Danio rerio: one gene and its partner. The protein of the gene in region 1 interacts with the protein of each later gene in a biochemical or structural test. Links are inferred from orthologs where the notes say so. Each region holds a gene or a part of one and is shown in the gene's direction. Other genes may lie near its edges.

The links.
Region 2: the proteins of pkp4 (region 1) and pdzd2 form a complex in vitro, tested with the Homo sapiens proteins (2 studies listed by BioGRID and IntAct, with this or other methods). The link is inferred for Danio rerio from reciprocal best matches to the Homo sapiens genes PKP4 and PDZD2.

The regions. Positions count from the first base shown.
Region 1 is NC_133181.1:13,210,681-13,214,513, reverse strand, and holds part of pkp4 (plakophilin-4), read left to right. Parts: intron 1-210; coding exon 211-407; exon of another isoform or gene 408-913; coding exon of another isoform or gene 914-949; intron 950-3,833. UniProt on the Homo sapiens protein: Plays a role as a regulator of Rho activity during cytokinesis. May play a role in junctional plaques.
Region 2 is NC_133180.1:41,881,582-41,885,414, reverse strand, and holds part of pdzd2 (PDZ domain-containing protein 2), read left to right. Parts: intron 1-1,396; coding exon 1,397-1,529; intron 1,530-3,833.

The DNA.
Region 1 (3,833 bases):
GTTTAACGTAGACTTGGTATCAAAGTGTGTGTATTCTCATTTGCTTTTACAGCCTGCGCGATGAGGCGTTATTTGCTGTATAATCGAACACAGGCCACGGATTCAATTGATGGAGCTTTAACCCAGCAATCCATAGTTCAAATGTTTTACCATTCCTGAACTGAAAAATCAGTTGCCTGTCTCAGTGTTTTGTTGTTCTCGCTTGCTCAGGGTCTGCTGCAAACTCGCGCAGCTCGACTCAGATGAATTCCTACTCAGATAGCGGATATCAGGAGGTGAGCGGTTACTACAGTAACACGGTGACGCCCAGGCGGTCTGAAGGGAGGTCACAGTCGACCAGCTCCGCCCCCAGCGGAAGCCCCACCCTCGCCATGAGCTCCAGGGCTGAAGGACAGGCCTCTGCACAGGTATGAAAACTCACTCAAACACCACTATATTAACGTTTCCTGGCGTGTTTGTTTTTTTCAGGGATCATTAGCACTGAATAATATATGTCCATTGTTATGAGCGATGTAGAATTGTATTCCGACTTGAGTTTTTCTGATGTACGTGACTCGCAAAGTTGTCTTGAACAGTCACTAAACAAACTGCAAAATCCTGCTTTTCAAATACTTCTCATCCACGGATTTCTTCCGACAGCCCGGGAGGATAAAGCGGCGCCCTCTAGCGAGTGTGCGCGTGGGACACTCCTGTATTTCAGAGAGGGTCTGAGATTTACTCGCTGAGCCGCTATTAAACGCGATATAATAATAATAATAATATGGAAAGATGTTATGAAACTGCCATTCTAACAGCAAAGTCTGAGCTTTAAGTACAGAAATAGGATGAGGCGTGGTATGTTTGGTGAAGCGCGGCGCAGTGTGTGTCTATATGCGGGGATCCGGTGTTTTCAGAGCGGATTTGGTCACAGCAAATGCTGCTCCATATGTACTCCTTCTCTGCAAACGCTGTGAGTTTGGGTCGCTTATAAAGTACAGTACAAACTACTTGGTTTGAAACGTAACGTTGTAACTATGTCAAATTTGTTATGAGAGTAGTTTTATCGAGAAGCATTAAGCACTTCCTGCTTTCCTCCAAAATAAAAGCTCAGTGTTAACTTTTGAAAGCAATAAGACGTGTAGAAAGCCATTCTTGTTATCATACCAAAACAATGCTTTGCCAAGAGATTTTACAAGAAGGTTTTAATATGCTTGCTGATGGTTTGTTATGTTTGGTTTATGGTGTGACAGACTAAAACTGTAACATTAAAGGGATAGTTCACCCAAAATCAAAAATTGACCCACTATTTACTAGCCCTCAGTTGGTTACAAACCTTTGAGTTTCTTTCTTCTGTGGAACACAGAAGATATTTTTTAAGAAAGCTGAAAACCTGCAACCATTGACATCCATTGTTGACAAAAAATAAATACTCTTGTAGCCAATGGTTACCGGTTTCCAACATTCTGCAAAATATCTTCTTTTGTATTCAAAATTGTCACAAGATTTTTTGGAACAAGTGGATAGTGTGTAAATAATGACAGAATGTTCGTTTTTGGTTGAACTATCCCTTTAATTTCACTATGAAAATAAATTAATTTGGCGTTTCTGTGTGGAATTTTCATGTTCTCCCTGCGTTCGCATGGGTTTCCCCCACAGTCCAAAGACCATGTGGTATAGGTGAATTAGGTAGGCTAAATTATCCGTAGTGTATGAGTGTGAATAAGTGTGTATGGATGTTTTCCAGAGATGGGTTGCAGCTGGAAGGGCATTCGCTGCTTAAATCATGTGCTGGATAAGCTGGTGGTTCATTCCGCTGTGGTGACCCCGGATTAATAAAAGAACTAAGCCGAAAATAAAATAAATGAATAAATTACTAAAAAAATTATTTGTTTCAGTTAGTTGTCAATATAATATTTATAGTTTTTTTTATTTGAACTTTGTTCAACCCTAACTAAAAAATAAAATTTCTTTCTCCTGATATAAAAAAAAATTCACTAAAACTCATTTTGTTGACATTATATAATATATAAGCTGAGGCCTGTCACAATAATCATTATATCGACTTTATTGCGCAATACTTGAATATCACCTCAATAATTATTGTCATTGCAATATATTTTTACAAATTCACAAATAATGTTAAAGCCATTTTACTATTACGTTTACGTTCTACCTTGCCAGTGTCAACATTTATAACTGGACATTTACCTTATAAGACATTTAATAGTATATATAATAGGACCTTAACCTTTTTAACATCAAATTCATTATCTTTTCAGCTTTGTATCTTTCTTAATCTGCGGGTGCCACAGCGGTATGAACCGCCAACTTATTCAGCATATGTTTTTTTACGCAGCGGATGCCCATCCAGCTGCAACTCATCACTAGGAAATAACGTCAAATTTTACAATCTAAATAACGTTAAGAATGATAAGTGTTTTAAAGTGTTTATGACTATATGCATTATTATATAGTCATTATACAATCATTGGCATAAAATGATCTCAACATGACAATAATATCGCTTATAGCAACAATTCCTGGGACAATATATTGCACAACAAAAATTCCTTATGACAGGTCTATCTATATAAGGCAACTTAAACTTACAGTAAGCTATATGTTTGTTTGACATTTATTAATCTTAGTTAACATTATTAAAGATGAAATTGCTTTAATTCACAATGCATTAGCCAAAATATTTATCTTTATTTTAATAATATATTGCAGAAGGCTTTTTATGAAGTCACTTAAAGACCTGTTTAAGTAAAGCATTGCCAGAAAATATCTGTATTATGGAAAATGTAATGGGATACACGTTTTGTTTGTTTTATTGTATTTATTATTTGTATTGTTCTGAATAGTGTTTGCATTGAAGTTGACTTGGCATTAAACAAAAGATCCAGTTTAATGTATTAGTAAATGCTGAAAAAATATGAACTAAAATGAGTAAGTGCTGTGGAAGTATTTTTTTATGCTTTTCACATTTAAATCAATAAAAACTATTTAAATGAACAGAAATATTTAAATAGCACAACAAAAATAAAAACAAATAAAACCTACAATAGTATCTCGGTTATACTAAAATAAAGCTTAAAAATCACTGAGTTGTCATTCATCTTATTGGCCCGGTATTAAGATTTAAATGAGTGTTATAAGTTTAAAGGGCCATTAAACTCTCCCTGTCTCAGCAGGGTGTTTTCACACCTAGTTTGAAAAAAATTAGGAAAGTGGGTGACTCCAGCTCTATTTAGGTGGGAGTGTCGAGTGGCAAAAGAGGGAAGGGTTTGCATAAAAATGGAAGTTTTCAGTTTGAGCAAGTGCTGATTTTTAAAACAACACACAGACGCAGGAGAGAAAGACAGTGACTGTTTACATGGACACCAGTAATCAAATTATTTGCCACATTCTTAATTTGTTGACTTTTACTGCAGTTTGACATTCAGGAACATTTCATGCATGCCCCCTGCGAAAAATGAGATGTTGGATGCAAGGAACTGCTGGAAGAATGTAGTTTTAATGGGATGTTTGATACCGCACGGCAAATGGGAGAAAAAAAACTTTCCGCATTTCTCGGTAACTTAGATGCACTCTGTAGGTAGCGTTAGAAATCTGTATGTGTATAGACTATCCTGTCACAAGATGCGGCGAAAATTCTACATGATGGAAATAGTTTGATTAAAGTGTTTACATGTTTACACTCAGAGAGCAGCAATTACAGTCTATGTTTCAGCCCATATTATTGTAGTGATATTACCGTACTGTAAACTTAGGGTGCTTTCACACCTGTGAATCGATTCAGTTGTTCCGAAACAGAGATTACAATTGTTACATTGTTGCTCTTTGCTCTTGGA
Region 2 (3,833 bases), on another chromosome or scaffold:
TAAACAAATAAATACTGCAAAATTGTTCAGCTGTTAATGTACTGTTATGTAATCATACCTTTGTCCCATAAAAAATAGACAAACAAAAAAAGTTTCGTAATTTAATGACCTTAAGTCCGTTAATCAATGTGAGTTTTAATTATATTGCTGTTGTAGGCTGTAATTGCGTTTGAAATTATATAATAATTTGTAGAAGTGATATGAAACTCTAATGGTTTCTATTTTTTCTACTATAAAATTGCATTTAGCTTGCCTGTTTAAGGAATAATTAATGACAAGCTGTTGAATTATTCTAAAATAATGCACCCTCAGCTTGATAATATTCCTTTGTGTGGAGTAGATTTATTCTAAAATAATGGTCCCTCAAATTGCTAATATTCATTTACCCATTACCTTGGGTTTAATTCAGTGAACTCAAGTCAGTTAATCAATGTGGGTTTTGAATCTCTTGCTGTTATGGGCTGTAATGACTATAATAATTTGGAGAAGTGATATGAAACTAATACTTTCAAAATCAGTCTTCTTTAGCAGTGCAATTCCTGAAAAATAAACACCGTAGAAGGTGTATAATCCAACCAGAATCAGGCATTCAGCAGCCCCAAGCTATAAATGTACAGTGCACTGCATGAATGAGTACATCCAATTTGAAAAATAAGATTTTCATCCATTTCTCATTGAACATCGGAAATATATGTTGGTGCGTTTAAACAAAACAGATTCAATAAACAGTTATATTGATTAAAATAAGAGTGTTATTACCAAACATCTTATACAAACATCTTACATAAATGTTATATTTTTTTGGCTCTCTTTAATTTTCCTATTAGGATTTAATCTAATATTATTCCCTAACACATTCATTGTTGTGTACATCCTTTTTCTCTGTGATATTGTTATTTTGCCAAACTAGTTTTGGCTTTGGTACTAACTCATCTAATGTTTAAACACATTTTGGTGACTGTTGCTTTAAATTTAAATGAGATTGTGCTGTTCTCAAAAAAGGGCGGAGCTACAAATGCCTGTGTATAAGCATAATGGCGGATACAAAATGACTAACATTCTTAGCCAATGAGGGAGAGATTGTCACTAATGGGCGGGGCTTTCTCCCTCTGATGACACGTACAAAGGGGGAAAGTAATTCAAAGTGTTTCTGTTTTTATCAAGAGTGATTATAAAAAATAAAATAAATAATTTTTTACTATGAGAAGCTGCTCAAATTCACACACTGTTGCAACACAACTATGTTAAGCCAGCCCCTTATAAAAGTGATTTTTGCATAATAGCTCCCTTTTGAAAGAGAGATATTTAGGTTTTGTACTCTTTTATGAAGGAGACTGTTTATATTTTTGATCAAATCTTTGATTAAAGTGACTAATCAGTGTATGTTATGCATTAGCCGAGGAGACCAGCTTCTAGAAGTGGATTCTGTGAGCCTGAGACACGCGGCATTAAGTGAAGCCTATGCCATCCTGAGTGAATGTGGACCAGGCCCGGTCAGCCTTATCATCAGCCGCCATCCAAACCCTAAAGTAAGAGCCAAACACAGACACTATGGCATCTCCTCAAAAAATGACTGCATATACAATCTTACTCAGATTAACAAGCTTGCAAACTTACCCTAATTAATAGTCTTGTTCAAAGGGTACAGATTCTTTAGGGTCAAATGAAGTAAATATTTGATGCCCATAGAAAATATTAATAAAGCAACACAAACGCCCTCTAGTTTCTGAACTTGTTTTCATTTATGAATAAATAGACCGCATCTATGAGTGTGGTGATGTGGTCACACTCTTGCAGTCACAAGGGCCCTTCCTCTGACAGACTGCTGCAAGTGGAAATAAAAAAAAATAACCATCCACCTGTTAAGCTGTAATTTGCTCCTAGCATGAATCATTGAAGCCCGACAAAAAAGTAAACAACATTCCTCTCCCCCTTCTGCTCGAGCAACTTGGTTTCCATCCACCTAGTGATTCAAGATGTTGAGAAATGTGCACCAGGGTGGGGTACAGCGGGAGGTTTTGGTGGTTAGAATATGCTGACTGTTCACTTGGCCTGAGAAATGAGAGCCTGCACTAATGTGAGCAGAACGATGTTAGGACTAGCCTCACACTTAGCATGTGACATGAGAATGTTAGTCTTTCACACTGAGGTACTGACCGTATGTCTACTTATACAGTTGAGGGAAAAATTATTATCCCTCCTGTGAAATTTGAATTCCTTTTCAAACATTTCACAAGTGTTGTTTAATAGAGCAAGGAGGGTTTCACTGTGTTTCCTATGATATTTTTTGCCTTATTAACCTAAATCGCTTATACACTCAGCGACCACTATATTGGGTACATTTATAATATCTATCTATTATATCTATTTATAATGTGTATAATGAAATACTGGTCTGAGTATTTCAGAAACTGCTTATCTACTGAGATTTTTACGCACAGCCATCTCTAGGGTTTACAGAGAATATTTGGAAAAAGAGAAAACATCCAGTGAGCAGCAGTTCTGTGGGCGCAAATGCCTTGTTGATGCCAGAGATCAGAGGAGAATGGCCAGACTGGTTCAAGCTGATAGTAAGGCAACAGTACCTCAAATAACCACTCGCTACAGCTGAGGTATGCAGAAGAGCATCTCTGAACACACAACATGTTGAACCTTGAGGCAGATGGGCTACAGCAGCAGAAGATCACACTGGGTGCCATTCCTGTCAGCTAAGAACAGGAAACTGAGGCTCCAATTCGCACAGGGTCACCAAGATTGGACAATAGAAGATTGGAAAAACGTTGCCTGGTCTGATGAGTCTTGATTTGTGCTGCCATATTCAGATAGTAGGGTCAGAATCTTGTTTCAACAACATGAAAGCATGGATCCATCCTGTCTTGTATCAACAAGTGGTGGTGGTTTAATGGTGTGGGGGATATTTTTTGGCATAGGACTTGGTGTCTATCCCTTTATGACCACAGTGTACCAATCTTTTGATGGCTACTTCCAGCAAGATAACGCGCCATGTCATAAAGCGCAAATCATCTCAGACTGGTTTCTTGAATATGACTATGAGTTCACTGTACTCAAATGGCCTCAACAGTCACCAGATCTTCATCTAATAGAGCACCTTTGAGATGTGATGGAACAGGGGATTTGCATCATGAATGTGCAGCTGAGAATCTGCAGCAACTGTGTGATGCTATAGTTCGATAAAAAATACAGACTGTGGAATGTGTTTTTAACAGAAATATACTGTAATCTGAATTTATGAATGTAAAATGTTAAAAACAGCAGATTACTGGCAACCACAGCTGCCGGTATTTTTCCGTAAAATTAAAAAAGGAAAAACGTTTTTTGTGTCACCATTGTGGAGGATAGTAGTGTCTGTGTTCAAGTCCAAGATGAACTGAGGGTATTTGATGTTATGCTGCATCTTCTTTTGTTTAAAGGTAACTGTGTAGTTACTAATGCAGTGAAAATCTGTTCGTTAATTGCAATCACACATGAACACATCATTGCATCTAATGACTTTACATTTTTGTGCACTAAGCTATGATTTTGTAAACTGAACATTGCATCAGTTCATGAAATACGGTTATTTTCCACAAATTAATACATTTCTATAAAACTTCCATATTTTTCACCGAAAAACTCTGGCAACCACAGCTGGTGGTTTTTTTTTTTTTTTTGTAAATTGAACCGATATTTTGCACTATAAGAGTTTGCTACTTAACACTCTCTCAGTGTTGATGATGATAACACTTTTATAGTGGTTCCCATATAAACTCTGAGGGAGTGTTAATTTTAACTCTAAGGTAGTTAAATCTACCATCTAAAATTTGCAGTCTATC